Rhinolophus ferrumequinum: one gene and its partner. The protein of the gene in region 1 binds, or shares a complex with, the protein of each later gene. Links are inferred from orthologs where the notes say so. Each region holds a gene or a part of one and is shown on either strand. Other genes may lie near its edges.

The links. The genes of interacting proteins can lie anywhere in the genome.
Region 2: the proteins of guanine nucleotide-binding protein G(q) subunit alpha (region 1) and F2RL1 are in contact, whole or in part, in a cryo-EM structure (PDB 9D0A), measured with the Homo sapiens proteins. The link is inferred for Rhinolophus ferrumequinum from reciprocal best matches to the Homo sapiens genes GNAQ and F2RL1. Residues at the interface, in NP_002063.2 of Homo sapiens: Arg37, Ile323, Tyr325, Asp346, Ile348, Leu349, Gln350, Asn352, Leu353, Glu355, Tyr356, Asn357, Leu358, Val359; in NP_005233.4 of Homo sapiens: His108, Pro109, Ala110, Met114, Gln172, Arg173, Val176, Ile177, Pro180, Met181, Gly182, His183, Ser184, Arg185, Met265, Met268, Leu269, Met274, Asp275, Asn277, Lys280, Lys281, Arg284, Ala285, Leu288, Ile289, Tyr344, Tyr345, Val347, Ser348.

Annotation. Positions count from the first base shown.
Region 1 is NC_046295.1:42,698,464-42,706,387, forward strand, and holds the start of guanine nucleotide-binding protein G(q) subunit alpha, read right to left. Parts: upstream 3,009-7,924; 5' UTR 2,787-3,008; coding exon 2,651-2,786; intron 1-2,650.
Region 2 is NC_046290.1:49,084,951-49,092,703, forward strand, and holds the start of F2RL1 (proteinase-activated receptor 2), read left to right. Parts: upstream 1-4,750; 5' UTR 4,751-4,820; coding exon 4,821-4,902; intron 4,903-7,753. UniProt on the Homo sapiens protein: Receptor for trypsin and trypsin-like enzymes coupled to G proteins.

The DNA.
Region 1 (7,924 bases):
AAAGAATTTAATCTGGAATTTCATTTAAAAATAAGGGTGATTCCTCAATTTAAATATTTAAAAATATTGGTGAATCGTTAAACCGTGAAAGGGTACATCCCTTAACCTCCTTTGGTCAGGTATCACTTAAATGAATGAAGGCACCAGAAGACTCATCTAAGGAGCCCGTCAGGAGGTACTCAAAGGAACCCCTTCCCAATACCTGCCCTGATTCACATCGACCATCATTTATCTCCTGGACTCAAAAAATCATGAAATGCCCATACACACAAACCTACATTTAGCATATATCATTAACTATATAAATAGCATAGATATTACAGTAGATTTGTTACAAAAGCAACATACTTAGAACATGAAGCAGTAGCAAATGTTACATGATGTCTAGGCATCACATTTCTAACAGCAAGTTGTATCATTTTTAAATGTTACCAATGAATGTAGGTGCTAAATGAAAGTCATATTTTTCTACCACTTCTAAGAGGCCATATTTGGGGGCCGGGGTGGGGCTTGTATTAAACCCTACTCAACTATCTAATAAGAAAAAAAAAAAATCCTCCCCACTGCCAACACTTAAGCAGTAAAATTGTTTTACTTTATTTTTTTTCTCATGCAATTACTTGCAAGTTCATTTTTTTAAAGCACAGTATGTTATTTAAATACACAGTGTGCAATTAAGCATCCATGTATGTGTATTTCCCCAAAAGTCCTCCTCCTAGACATTGAAACCTAGGCCCTCAAACAGATGAACCCCCTGGGCTCTAACTCATAGCTCCTAGGAACCCAGAGCTGTCACATTTCAAGCCATAGGGTTGGCTTGAGAGCCCTCACCACCCAATTCACAGCTAAACAGAAACATGTAAAGGCTGTAAACAGGGAAGGGAAAAGAGAAAAACCGTTAAGTCTAAAACACATGCTTTTGCCCCCTTAATCATGCACCCAAACACTCTATACATTTCTCTTGCCCTCTCTATTGTCTTCTCAATCATGATAATTCAGAAAACATTCAACTACATTTTCAGCCAGTAAAAGCAGCTCAAAATGAGAATAAAAATAAAAAAATAAAAAGATCATTTTCCCATAAGAGTTTACCCTGCCCTGCCTTCATTTCTGAAAGCCCACCTCTTTTATCAAGCACTTTGCCTTCTGTTCTTTATAAACATGTGCACATTTATCTAATCTGCTTCAAAATGAAAACATAAAGCATAGCATGTGAATTAACCATTTGTAACTATTTGTGATCATTATATTTTGTTCCTTCTTTAAATGATCCAGGTACATAAGCAGTTCAGTCCAAAAGGCAACTGATTCCTTGAACCAGGAGACTGAATGCTCAAGATAAGAAAACACGTTTCTCAAATCCGAATTGACAATACAATATTCTTTTCTTCCAGAAATGTCTGAGAAACATATTTATTATACACGTAAATATCCTGAACACGAGTGCAGGCATTTTTCAGGCCTGTTACTGCAAAGCTGTTTGCTCTTCTTACCACAATAGCTCAGAGTATGTTACCCTGGCTTGTATATGCGAACCCTGATGGCTGATTCTGAACAATCTCTCAGAGATAATAATCAACAGAATTCCTAATTGAGAACCAGCATTTTCTTGCTAACTTAGTGTTAGAGAAGAACGTTGAGTTTTTTTGGTTTTTTTTTAGAGATTAAAGGGAAATTTCTTGCTGTACACTTCCCGTTTTCCTTCCAGTCCAGATTCCAAACATATTAAAATGCTGTCCGTTTTAAACAAAAGGTTTCTATTTGTCTCCATGAGAGTAATTGAGAGGCTGCACTGGTTTTCAGTAGTAACTATTGTGAATTCAGGCCTACATCTGGGTTGCCTCATTAAACAAAAGATACCCGTCGCTGTCAACAACCACACAGCACAACGCTCCCCTATCCCTTGCCTTTTTATCTGGAAGGAATTTTGCAGACAAGAAACACGCCTGTCACTATCCACTGGTCAAGAAACTCTTCTGGGGTCCGTCCTTTCGTTGGTCTGGTGGCTAGGGAACAGCACTTGTGTGACACATTTGTGCTTGCCTCCCTGCCCCCCTAATACATAAGCCTCCTTTCTTTGGAGGGCCAACCACTCGCCTCTCTCATCATCACTCCTTGAAGAAGCCAGCTGTGACTCTGCCCACCACCGTTCCACCATTCCCTCCTGACCCCAGAATGCACTGATATGGATGCACACAGGCCACCCCCTAGTTGCCCTGGCTCCGTTCGCCACCCTCGGGCCACACACACAGCTAGCTCCCCACTCCACCACCCACGGGGCGCCGCGGCCACGACACTGGAAGTTCAACCCCTCTTTCCACCTTCCCATGCCTTCCCCCGCACCCAAGTTATTTGCCATTTAGGAGATGCACGGCAAATAAACGCGCACCCCGAATGCACGGCCTTCAGGGGCCGGGGGCAGGGCAGCCCGACCCCTCTGCGTGTGTGTGCGAGTGTATGTGTGTACGCGCGCGCCCGAAAGGGTGCGGGTGGTGGCCGGGGGCGCGCCGGGGGAGGGTAGGGAACAACCGCGGGCGCCCTGAGGCGGGGGCCGCTGGCGGCGGCTGCCCGGGGGGTTCGGGGGTGGCTGGCGGGGGGCGCCGAGGTCCGGGGAAAGGGCCCGCGAAGGCCGGCCCCGGGCGGTACTCACCCAGCAGCAGCAGCTTGAGCTCCCGGCGAGCGTCCCGCTTGTCCCTGCGGAGCTGCCGCTCGATCTCGTCGTTGATCCTCCGGGCTTCCTTGGCCTCCTCGCTCAGGCAGCACGCCATGATGGACTCCAGAGTCATTCTTCCAAAGTGCCTCCGCTGCAGCCCCGCCGGCACCCCCTGCTCACACGCGCGCACACACACCCTCCCGCCCTCGCTCCCCCGAGGCAGCGGTGGCCGCCGAGCCCCCGCCGCCCGGGCGCGCGTCCGGGACTAGCTCGGGGAACCGCCGCGGTGGCCGCGGCCAGGGCCGGAGCCACCAGGTGGAACGGGGGTGCGGCGGGAGCAGACGGCTGGGCCGCCCGCAGGAGCGAGGCGGGGCGGGAGGCGGCCGCGGGCGCTGGTTCGGGGTGCGCGCGACGAAAGGCCGCCGCTCCCGGCCTTGCTCAGACGCCCGGGCTTCCTTCCCCGGGCACGGGCGGCTCGCCTCGCCCCCCGCGCGGCCACCGCTGCCGCCGAGGCTCCCCTAAGCCCTGCGCCCGGCGGCGAGAGCACATCCACCGGGGCGTACGCAGCGAGCGGCCGCCGATGGCTCTCTGCGCCCGGCGCGCCCGCTCTTGGCCGCCGCTTAACACGGCTCCGGGCGCCCTCGGCCCTGCCCGCGCCCACCGCCCGCCGGCTGCCGCGCGCTCCTCCGCCTCCGCCTCCGCCTCCGCCTCCGCCAGGCGCCCACCCCCGGCCCCGATTGCCAGGCGCGGAGCGGCTGCTCAGTGCTCGCCCTCCCCCTCGCCACACACACACATTTTCTTCTTTCTCTGAACTGGAGCACAGATCCGGGAGGGAGGCGGCGGCGGCGGCGGCGGCGGCGGGAGGAAGAGGAGGAGGAGGAGGAGGAGGAGGAGGAGGAGGAGGAGGGAGCGGGCGCAGGAGGAGGGAGCGGGGAGGCGGTGCCGCCCGGCCCCTCCTGGAAGGCTCTCCTGGGCTCGCAGCCGCCGCGCGCGCCGCCCAGTGCGGCTCTCGCCTCGCCCGCGCTCCTCCCGGGCTGGGCCGGCCCTGGGAGCTCTGCGGGCGCCTTCCGCTCCCGCGCCCTCTGCGGGGCCCGCGGGCGCCGCGGTCACGGCCGCCCCCGGCGGAGGGCGGGGTCGGGTCTCCCCAGCTCAGCCAGGGCGGCCGCCAACCTGCCGCTGCCCGCCGGCTGCCCGGGCGTGGTGAAGCAGGAATATGGCGGCCTCTGTCTCCCTTTCAGCCCACCAGCCCCGGAGCGCGGCCTCGGCCCTCGGGGAATCCTCAGGATTCGGCCCCGCGAGCCCCCTGCACCGGCTGTCACCGTGGACACCCTGCCCAACTCCCCGCAGGCGGCCGCGGCGCTCGCGCCCCCCGCTCCTGGACAGCACAGATCTGCTGGCGCGACCCTCTGCAGCCGCTTCTGTATTCCTTCCCGTTCCTATTTCTATAACGCCATTCGGTTAGAGAGTATCTCTGTCATCTCTGACCCCAGTTCAGTAGTAGAAAATCAGATACACTCGATAGTGGAGTGTGACGGAGGAAGAGAAGTAATTGTCACTGGTTCCCGGAGGTGTGTGTGTGTCGGGGGGGAATTAAAAGGTGAAACTCTCCCCAGTTACTGGACATAGAAATGTAAATCCTGAGCAGAAAAATGAAGCTGCCGAAGTTACCAAGAGCTTCCTGATATCTTCCAAGTTTTCACGCCATTGAGGTTGTTTTTGTTTTCTTACAAGCTCTCCTCCTGTTTTTTAAAAGGCACGTGATGTTTAACAGCCAAGTAATCGAATTTACCCTTCTAGGCCGAGATTGAATTATGGATGTCTACTGGGAAAATGCAAAATAACGTGAAAGAAAAGGAAAGAGTAAAATAGAAAAATGAGAAAACCAACATCGCCTCAGCAAAATTTTATTCCAGTATTTTGTTTTCCACTCTCGATTGGGGCAGTTTACTTAAAAATGTTTGCATATTTTGTTGTTACATAGGACTGAAAAATGGCTACACACACACAAAAAAATCTTGCTCATTCAGGTTTTATGTAGTTTAATAGCTACAAGAGATGAAACTCATATTGCGTCCTGCCTTAACGGAACCTGAGGTCTTGAAAGTAAATTGAATTCTATACAGGGAGTCCCTTTTTCACGTTTTGTTTTCTCTGAGATGTCTCTGGTGCAACCTGCTGATCCAGAGTGTAAAATATGATCATGACAGTCTTATTGCTACAGGTCACAAATGCACAAAGGGTTCTCGAATGACAGATGTGTGACTACCTTCTTTCATTTGCCTTTACCTCCACCCCTTGACTGCCCCCACCTCTCTCTTTCAGAACTTAGATCAAAGAAGTCATCGCGATATAAGATCTATATTTTAGACTCCCTTTTAAAAGGATATTTGGCCTAGAAAATGATTAGATTTCACCTTGGCTCAGAGAGCAGAAAGGACAAACCTCACATTTATGTGAATGCCCACAAAAAGCCACTAGACCTGCTGTGAAATTTAAAATAAAGTGACTAATGAAGTTAAAGACTGAAATTCAACATGCAGAACTTTTAAATGGCTTCAGAGGAAAAGCTTAATTATAAGTTTGCATCCATATATATGTGTATATATATATATGCATATATATGTGTATGTATATATATGTATATATATATATATGGGTTTCAGATTCAAAACATCAGAAAATTAAATGACAGGAAGCTTCAAATGTCTGGGTTTCCTAGCCAAGAATCCTCTGAGATTTTTGAAAATGTCATCAAGCTACCAGGATCCATTTTGACGGAATTGACCTATTTTTTGATGAAAGGAATTAACTGCTTCGATACACTGTAGATACAAATCACATTCCAAATCACCCCAAAACACAGAGTAAGATGATCAACCATTTTAAGTATTCTAGGGCAATTACTAGATAGCTGAAAAGCAAGCCACAAAATCCTAGGAGCTTGAACACTGAACACCAGAGGAAAATGGGAAGACTGTCACCTCTTCTATGGTATTCTGAGATGGATCCCTACCCCCATGATCATATCACCCTGTCCTTGGGGGACTGGAAAAGAAAAACAGTCAAAGGTATAGAATAGTCTCTAGGAGTGATCCTAGAGTTAGAGTGAAAGGTCGCACTCTTGTAAAAGGAGTTCCTGGAGAAGGATAAGCCTGCACTCCTTCTGTTCCCAGGCACTTGGCACAGCTGCTTCCCAGCATGCATAGCACTACACCACTGTAATTCTCATTCATTCTCTCTCTCTCTCTCTCTCTCTCTCTCTCTCTCTCTCTCTCTCTCTCTCTCTCAAGCTGCTTGAGAGCATAGACCTTGTAAATGATGAATAAAGAAAAGGATACCACAACCTCCATCAACAACAAAAACACTTGCAGACTCCCAGTCCCAGGCAGTGCCTTAAAGTCTTAATAATCTATTTGGCCAGACAGTCCACATGCATAAAAGAATAAACAACAATGTAAAATGAGACGCACTCACTACCAATCTACACTGTAGAGAACGGATTGCTAGGAGTTCAAAACAAGGAGCAGAGATCCCAGGCACCGTTCAAAGCAACCCAAGAGTATGGATAGGCACACGGTGGTGGTCACCTGTAAGACCAATTAGAAGTCAGCCTGGAGCATTGCCGGCCCTACAACAGCTGGGAAAGAGCTGCTCTGTGCAGAGCTTGCTGGCACAGCTGTCTGGCCAGGGAGTCAAGTGGCCTTGCTGGGGTGGAAAGCAGGCCGACGCAGGCTTAGAGAGCTGCAAATGGCACCACCTAGAGGACAGTTTTCACAACAGCAGAAAGATAGTGATTCTTAGTTGAAAGAAATGGTTCTAGGGTCAACATGTAGAAGATGAAAAATCAGGTGTGAAACAGAACACCTTCTTCTGAAAGAGAAAAGCCACCAAACTGATAGTCTAGATGAGGTAGAGTAGCTCAGTGACATCTTTCTATTATTATCCTCAGAAATGCATTCAACCGATCCTCTGACTAATCAGATATACTTATTTTGTGCTTATCCAAGGTCAGCATTATCACAGTAAGTATTGTACTCACAGTGTAAATGCCATCTAAGTCCCACCAGACTGGAAGGCCCGAAAAGGCTGGCCAAATGGGAATGTGTTTAAGCTGAGTAGAGCAGTGTTTCAGCCACCGAAGCCATTTACTAATATTTGATTAATGAATGAGTGAATGAATGAATGAATTGGAGCAAATGAATGAATATGTACTAAGATCAGACAGTGAGCTATCAGGTCACCCCAAATCATAATCCAAATCCTTCTGGTATCCAAAGGATCAAGGATAACTTAGCTAACATAGGAGTTTCCTTTTTGCCTTGAAGTTATTACAAGTTGGAGCCACCTGTCCCCCAAGACTCTGCCCTTGCTGGACTTCCACCTAAGACCAAGGGTGCAAATTGGGATCTTTGGCCTGAAGAAGTGTTGCTTTTGACTTAATGGTGCTATTGAAAATTTTGAATTAGCTATCAGAACTTAAACATCAAGAGATTCACATAGAAATGGGGGTTTCAGTTCCTGGTCAAGATCTGGCAATCCCAGGCCTATATTTCCAGATGATGACCATTCCCGTCACCTGATTTACTCCCATTGTTGTGAATCCTGGACCAATTTGTACTCTCCATTTAGCACATACTGTACCTGTGAGCATTCCAGGTAGGACCTCTAAGGCAGTGAGCAGGATGGGGATTGGATACTGGATTTAATCAGGTTGTTGAGGCCATTGATTTCTTTCCCCTTTTTTTGTTTCCAAGTTTCTAAATCAAATAATCGTTTAAACCATTATACTCATCTCTCCTCCCTTTGATCATTTCTCATATAAAACTCCATAAGGGCTTTTTGTCTGTTTGGTTCATTTCTAAATCCAGCACCTAGAATAGTGTCTGAGAGGTAATAGATGCTTCAGAAACATTTGTTGAATGATTGACAAAAAGGCCACATGTTGACCGCTTGGCAGTCTGCCTCTTTTCTTTTTTTCCTTAGCCAGATGGTAGCCACCAAAGTTGGCTCCCTCTCTAAAACATTCCTTGGCCCTGTGCTTAAAAATCTTGCCTCAAATGGGTTCATCAATGAAAATTGGCCATTGCTACGATATCATGAAAGCTGGGGATGCAACATTTTTGTTCAAAACCCAGATGGAAACATGTATTAATTCCACCTAAATCAACTTTATAGGAAAATTGATATTCCTGATACAAATTCATTTCAAGTAATGTGCATGTTATATATTGGAGGTTATGACACAATATATATTCAAAGTTGTTAAGTGCT
Region 2 (7,753 bases), on another chromosome or scaffold:
AACCATTCCAGGCAAAGGAATGGTAAGGGAGTGTGCATGGCTGGAGCAGAATGAGTGAGGGGAATAGAGGAGATGAAGTCAAGGAGGGTGTGTGTGTGTGTGTGTGTGTGTGTGTGTGTGTGTGTGTGTTCATGGGGAGGGGTTCAGGATGTCTGAACCTTTGACAGACTTTGGTTTGAACTCAGAAATGGGAAGCTACTTCAGTATTTTAAGTAAGGAAGTCATCATGTTACCGGCTTTGTGGGTCTTGGGTTCCCCAAGATAGAAATTGAGAGGAAACCTCAGAAAAATTTCCAGACAGGTTTTATTAAGTTTATGCTCGAGCACAAGGGAGGTAGCACAGAGGAAAGGAAGGTCCTCCAAACTGGCTCGGGGTCGGGCTGTGCCTAGCTGTTTTTATAAGCTGGAGACAAAAAAATAAAACAAACAAAAACGGGGGCTTGTGTGAAAAGACAGGCTTTCGGAAAAAGGCAGGTTTCCTTTACCAGCTACATTGCCTGGTAACCATGGTCAGGCCTGCACTGTGGGGCAAGATGGCAGACTGCTCATTATTGCCACCCCAGGAAGGTCCGATGGTGGTCAACTGCTGTAGAGGGATCACCCTTGTGGTCAGTTTATCCAGCATTCCTTTGGCCCTGGGCCTAGTCCCTGTGCTGTCTCAATCTGATGCACATTTTCACAGGTTCACTCTGATCACTGTGTTGAGAGAAGACTGTGTAAGGCTTATGGGTAAAATGAGGGAGACAAGTTATAAGGCTATTGCAATAATCTAGGCAAAAGATAATAGTAAGTTGGACCAGGGTGGTATTTGGGATATATTTTCAAGGTGGGATTTGCTGATGAATCAGATGTGGAATATAAGAGAAGTCAAGGATGACTCCAAGACTTTTGATTTGGGCAACTGGAAGGATGGGGTTTAAGGAGATGAGCAGAGAAGACTATGAGAGGGGTGTAGTGGATCAGAAATTTAGTTTTGGATACATGCTTGATATGCTTATCGTCAGGTCCCAGTGGAGTTGTTGAGTAACTGGATGGATATGTTATTTTTAGGGAATGGAGAAATCTGGGCTCTAAATACTAATTTGGGAGTTGTCTGCACATACATTTATTTAAAAACCACAGGAGATGAGTGTACATTGAAAAGAAGTTAAAGGACAAACCCAGGGGCACTCCAGAGTATAGAATTCAAGAAGGTGAGTGAGAACCAGAAAACAACCAACTCTTCTGAACTGTCAGTGAGGTAGGAGGCGAGATCAAGGCATGTGTGATTAGTTCAGGAAGCCAACTGAACATCGTATTCAAGAAGGAGAGATCAATTGGGTCCAATTCCACAGTCAGCTTGAGCAACATGAAAACTGAGAATTGACCAAAGGACTTACCATGTGAAGGTCACTGCTAACCTTGTTCAAAGTGTTTATTCAGTGAATTGATGAGTGAACGAATGTAATGTTTCCTCCATCTATATTTGGCCAGGACCCAAGAGTGCAGGGATTATATCTTTGTTTCTCCAGGAAGAGTTGGATGAGTTTGATAAATGATTGTAGAATTGATTGAATGAAATGGCTTTTCCTTCACTGCCTGGCCTATCCCAGTTCCTACTTTATTTTCCTTAGAATGTGGAGGGTGGGAAACTGCACAAAGTTCCCAATTCCCAGATGCCAGGCTATCTGGAATTGCCGGTGGTTATTTTCCTGTACTGCTGCACAGAGCTGTACAAAATCCCAAGCCCTTCAGGTCAAAGGAGTCACCAATATCTAAAGAACAAATCTTGTAGTTTCAAAGTCACAGGAAAATATCTGCAAACTAACTCAAATGAATGTAGTTAGATAGTCAGGCTGCTGGTTTATAGTCATTCTTGAGATAATTACTCGTAACTCAACATTGTTCAAAAACGTATTTTCTTGGGAATTTTGATGATTCAGAGCACAAAATCATAAAACACCAGTGAAAATTACAGTCAAAACCAGCCAGGTCTTCATGCATTGTTCTCTGAAAAGAGGAAGATTCCCCCTGGAGGAAGTCATTCTATAGTAGCTACCATTTCCATATACCAGGAACTGCTAAAGAAGCACTTTATGGGCATTTAGAAAACGGAGTCCTCTCAACCACCCTACAGGAATGGTACTGTGATCACCCCCAGATTTTAGATGTAATAGTAATAGATTATAATGAGAAAATGGTAGAGGCTTGGAAAGACTGAGGGGACATCATAGGGCTTACCTCCCCTAATGAGGGACCCTCAGGTGTAAACCGATCCCCATCAGAACTGTCCCCTGGACAAGAAGTCCCTGGTGCTTCTTCTAGAAGTTAACTTTTCCTGGAAGAAAAGAGGGCACAGGCTGATGCATGTGGCCCTGGGAGGTAGCATCCTGAGAGCTGGGGTGCAAGTGGGGTGTGTGAAGGAGATTCCTGAGAGAAAGGAAGGAATCAAAAAGAATGTGTTGGGCTTCTATCATGCATCAAACACAGTCACAATTTATTTTATCTTCAGACACCTTTGAACTAAAAAGAATATTAACTCCGTTTTGTATGTTAAGGAACCTGAAGCTTAGAGAGGGTAAGTCTTTCTCCAACGTCACACAGATGTTGGTAAGGCGAGAAGCCAGAATTTGCCCACAGGAATACATGATTTCAAAGGCTAACCTCTTTCCACATTCCAAAAACAATTCATTTGAGATATAGCAATGAGGGATTCCTAAGGGATGGGCTACTGAAAAGCAGCCACTAAAAAGAATTGTCTTTCACAGAACAGCTTTCCCTAGCCATGCTTATCTGTGTGTGTGTGTGTGTGTGTGTGTGTGTGTGTATGTGTGTTAGGAGTCAGTCCATTCCTGTTATTCAGGGAACGAGTATTCCACTCCCATGGCATGTTAAAGGTCATTTGCTTCTCTTCCTTTTCAGTTTTTATTTCCCTCCTCTTGGGAGCTCCTCTGTCCAGGTAGAGAGAAAAGGTAGAATGCCAACTATCCACTTACAAGTCGATAACTTTGGGGAAATGTTTTATTGGGGATATGGTTAAACAACTGGCTAGCATGACATTGTATATACTTTTGTCTGCCTGCATTATCTCAAACCCACATTCGTTCTATTAATTGGCCCCACAGTGGGTTCAGTAAGAGGACACAGGGCCTATATCAGATGTAAGCTCCATCCTAGAAACTCACAGGCCTAAGATTGTGGCCATTCAGTTAATGGTTCAAAACTTAGTAGTGGTTACAGGCACTGACTCACAAACTTTGGTCTTCTAGGGAGAATCACAGACTCTGAGGGCTCAAGCTCGTCACCCGGCTATCCGGACTCGCCCAAACTGGCTGGAGCTGGGGAGGAAACGCCCTCTCCCACACGCTGGACTGATGACCTGGTCTTTTGCTGCAAGCTGGGCCGTGATGTGACCCTCCACCTCACCAGGCAGGCCTGAGGACTGGGACTGGCCGGACTTGTTAGAAATGTTTCTCCACTGAGCGAAAATCAGCCTCCCACTCTGGCTTCCACCTCTTTCTGCATTCTTGGACCTACTCAAAACACATCTAATTCTCTTCGACATGCTAATCCTTCAAATATCTGAAGACAACACTCCCGTTTCTCTTTACTGCCCCTCCACTACCCAATAGTTTAAATGGATAACAGTCAACTTTATTTTTTAAAGCAAGTAAAAAGGAAGACATTACCAATATGCTGAAGGCCCTTGTGCGCTCATCACCGATCTCACACTCGTTCTATCCCCACCCCCTCTATCTGCTTATAAATGTCTTTGGTCCCTAGGATCCCAATGTGGAAAAGACCCTAGTGGAAACATTTATGGTGCAATGATTAATAGAAGACAGTGGCACTCATAGACTAGAGTTTAAATGTGGTTGACATTTACAGCCTGTATCTATAAACTGCATAACTGTGGGCAATTTATCCAACCTTTCTAAGCCCCATCTCCTCGTTTGTAAAACGGGAATAATAATCATACTTAGTGCGCAGGTTGTTTTCAGGGTTAAACTACACAGGGCTCCTAAATCATTCGCACTTCTCACTTAAAGTAACTGTTCCAACTGTTTTCTCCCCGTCCACCTCTCAGACGAGGAAATGGGCCTAGAAGGAGGTGAAGAGGTTTGTTGGAGGTCGCAGCTAGTTAACAGCAGAGCGGAAACCTATCCTACATCCCTAACCCCTCCTATCCGTACCCCTTTCTGCTCCCCACCGCTTTCTTTGGTGTCCGCAGCCATCCATTTTGCCTCTGCAGATTAAAAACGTGTCCACTCCACTGGGAAGCCTCTACCAATTACCGAGGGTAAGTGCAGTGAGCTCGAGTCTTGCTTTTTTGCCATTTAGGTAAGGGGAGGGGCGATGGACGACACTGGCTCCTCAGTAGGAATTAAAGGTGAAAGGTAGTTGTAGGCGTCGCGCAGGCCTGGAGGAACCCTCCGTCCCAGCGTTCCTACTATTTGCATTCCAATAAGGCTACTTCACCGGCCTACCCTGCCCGCGGGCGGCTCGGGCTGGCTGGGAACTGCAGCTCGTCCACCCGGAGCCGGGAGGGCGGCGAGTGGCGGGGTAGCTCGGAGCCTGGAGGCCCCGGGCCGAGCCCGAGCGCCTGACAGCTGAAGGGGCGGGACGGGGCCGCGGGTTTGGCCCCTGGGCGTGGCCTCGCGCAGGTGCTGGAGCGGCTGGGGTTTCACTGAAACTTATCAGGCTCTGGGAAGGCGCGCGCAGCGGCTCCAGTTAGGGGCAGGTGAGAGAGTGGCTTTCTCTTCCACCCGCGAGTGGAGCTCTGAGTTTTGAATCAGTGGCGGCGAATTCCTCGCTCGCCCGGCGTCCGGGTTGTTGGAAGAATGCGAAGCCCGAGCGCGGCATGGCTGCTGGGGAGCGCCATCCTGCTGGCGGCCTCTGCCTCGGGTGACCGCACGATCCAAGGTGAGAAACGGCCGCGGAGGGCTCGTGCCGCTAAGGAGCAGGGATTCTGGGCACTGTCGGCAGGTGGGGGAAGTGGGCCAGTGCGCGCAGGGTGTTCTGCTGCCTCCGAGCACCTCCCGTACACTCCACAGTCTCCTCTCCGCCGCTTTCACGGGGGATCCCCGCGTTCAGGGAGCCACCGAATGAGACAATCCCAAGAGGCTGAAGTTCACGGAGGGAAGGGAAAGGAGTGCTCGAGTCTAAAGGCTACTTAGAGGACTCCCACGGGTTGGCTTCTTTGCAAACACTAGGTCATTAAGGAGCTTTTCGCACACCCTGGCGACTTCCTCCGGGCTGGTCCCAGGGGACCCCTGGAGTTATGAGTTGATGGATCGGAGCGGGGTTGAGTGGGTGGGAGCCCCGCGGCCAAGAACCTCGCTTCTTGCAACCCCTTTAGCCTTTGGAGCTCCCTCTTTGGGAACGGCCCACGGGGTTAAAGACCCACCGGCCCGCAGCTCCCCTGGCACCATGCACCGCTCGGTATGGAAGTCAGGGCCGGCCCCCGCCGGGTTCTCGCGGTAACCGGCGCTTTGCTTCAAGTTTTAGGCCAGTTGGGCATCACGCAGATTTATGGAAGTTCTTGAACTCTGCCTTATATTCGACCAGGTGATCTTAGGGCCCTGAGTTCCCGCACCCTTCTCTGTCACCCGGAGCGTGCACTGGCTGCCACTGAGATCGGAGGCTGCCAGTCCCGGGGACTGAACAGCGCGAGAGCCAACTGGGTGGTGATCAGGTGCCTAATTGTTCGCGGCTGCGGGTGACTGCCCTGCGAGTGCTCCAAGTTGTTCTGCTGGGGGTGGAATCTCCCTGGCGGAGCAGGCGTCTGAGGGCGTGGGGAATCCTTGGCCTGAGATCGCGCTGCTGTGATGCTAACAGACGCCCCACAGTTTGGGGCAGGCAGGGTTGTCTTCAAAGGGAAGTTTTTCTTTCCCTGCGAAATTTGCCGACCTGCTGTAAAGGGTCAGTTTCTCATTTTTATTCTTTTCATGAAGATATTGTAAAAGAGCATTTGAATTTGCTCTTAAAAGAGCATGTGAATTTGAATTAGATTGAAGAATGTAATTCTTTTCCCTCTGGAGTTACAGAAAAGGGGATTATGGTGTATACTTGAGAACTGCACCACTGACTACATTTTATTGTCAGCATTTATTTATTTCCGGGAGGTATTGAAAATGATTAATACTTCTCCATTTACCTTTCAGCTCCAAGTCAAGTACGGTAGTTGTTTCATTCTAGTTGTGGAGGGTGCAGCTCACGGTGGCCCATGTGGAGATCGAACCCGCAACCCTGGCATTCGGAGCATCGTGCTCTAATCAACTGAGCTAATAGGTCGCCCCTACCTTTGTCTTTTAAAGTTAGAAAGTTAAAATTGAGGAGCAAAACTTAGAATGTGCAAATACGTTTGAAAAATATGTGGGTGTAGGTGAGTCAGTGCTTTTATGATTCAGACAGTTCCTATAGGAAGTTCGTCCTGAGTATGGGCTTGTTCTTGTTTACAAAGCGACTGGGCTGGGGCTGGAGGATTCCTCCAGTATAAGGTGAACTTAATTTAACAACAGCAAAATCAAGTTACTTGTTAACCAGAACTATTTAATATTGCATTTGGGTTGTTTTGTTTTGTTCCATCTTCATACTTTGATTCCCTTGTAGGGTAAGGTTCCTGAAGTGTTACTTAAGTAACAGACTTTAGGTAGATGGAGCTTTCCTCCCAACTTGAAACTAAATTAATTTTGATAAAGAAATAGAGCATCGCCAGAGTTTTTTTGCTTCTCAGCCCACGTCTTTGCTCATCCCCTTTTAGCTTGACCTTTACCCACGCTCCTCAATTTGCTACAGGACAGATAACAGCTTTGATTTTCTTCCCAAAGGCCTTACCCTGAAAGACTGCCTCATGAAAGGGAACTCAACCTAGAGAACAACCTTCTCGTTTTACATAGGCAGCCCACGGAATTTGTGGGGGGCAAGGAAAAACATTCCATCAGACTCTGCTTTCTTTCCTATTTGTCACAACAGTAATTGATAATGACTTTTGTAAATAAGTTTAATCTGTCTCCCCACTGGATCCTAAACTCTTGGAGGCCAGGGACCCTTGCGTCATCTCCATTGCCATGGTCCAGCACGCTCATTATTTAAAGGACTTCAGTAAATAGCAAATGAAGAGTGAAATGAGGGGACTTGCCCAGAGAGACCTGGCAGGTTGATGGCAGTTGGGCATTTAAATCAGCTTTTTTCAGGCACTGATTTCTTTCTACCACATTGTAAGCTTGGGAAGGCCCCTGTGATGCAGTCATTCCTTTTTTTTTCTTTTGGAGACTGAAACTTCTGTTCTCTTTGTAATTGGTTTTTAGTGATACAAGTAATATGTGATTGCTACAGAGGAAAAATGAGAAAAAAAGGAAAAGTTTAATTAAGTCACCCTCAGTACCCAAGAAACCATGCTCACATTTTGGTTTATATCCTTTTCCATGCTTTCATGCATCCATGCATAAAATATGTATTCACAAATATAGAAAGTCTTTATATGCAAGTATGGGATTAAATAAACCATTAGCATGTCAGTAACTATAAAACATTTTTAATGACTCTAAAACATGTTGTAGGAGAATGTGTCATAATTTTTAAATTGGTCCTGTTGATAGACAACATGGGGTATTTCCACTGTCTCATAATAAGAGAGAATACTATAATGAGCATGAAGATGGGATTTTGAATTTGTGGTTTTGGTTCCTTTGCTTGCCTTGTAGTTACTAATTAACCTTGATAGGCGATGTTTTAGTGAAGTCTGTGTTTGACTTTCTTATGGTTTTATTAG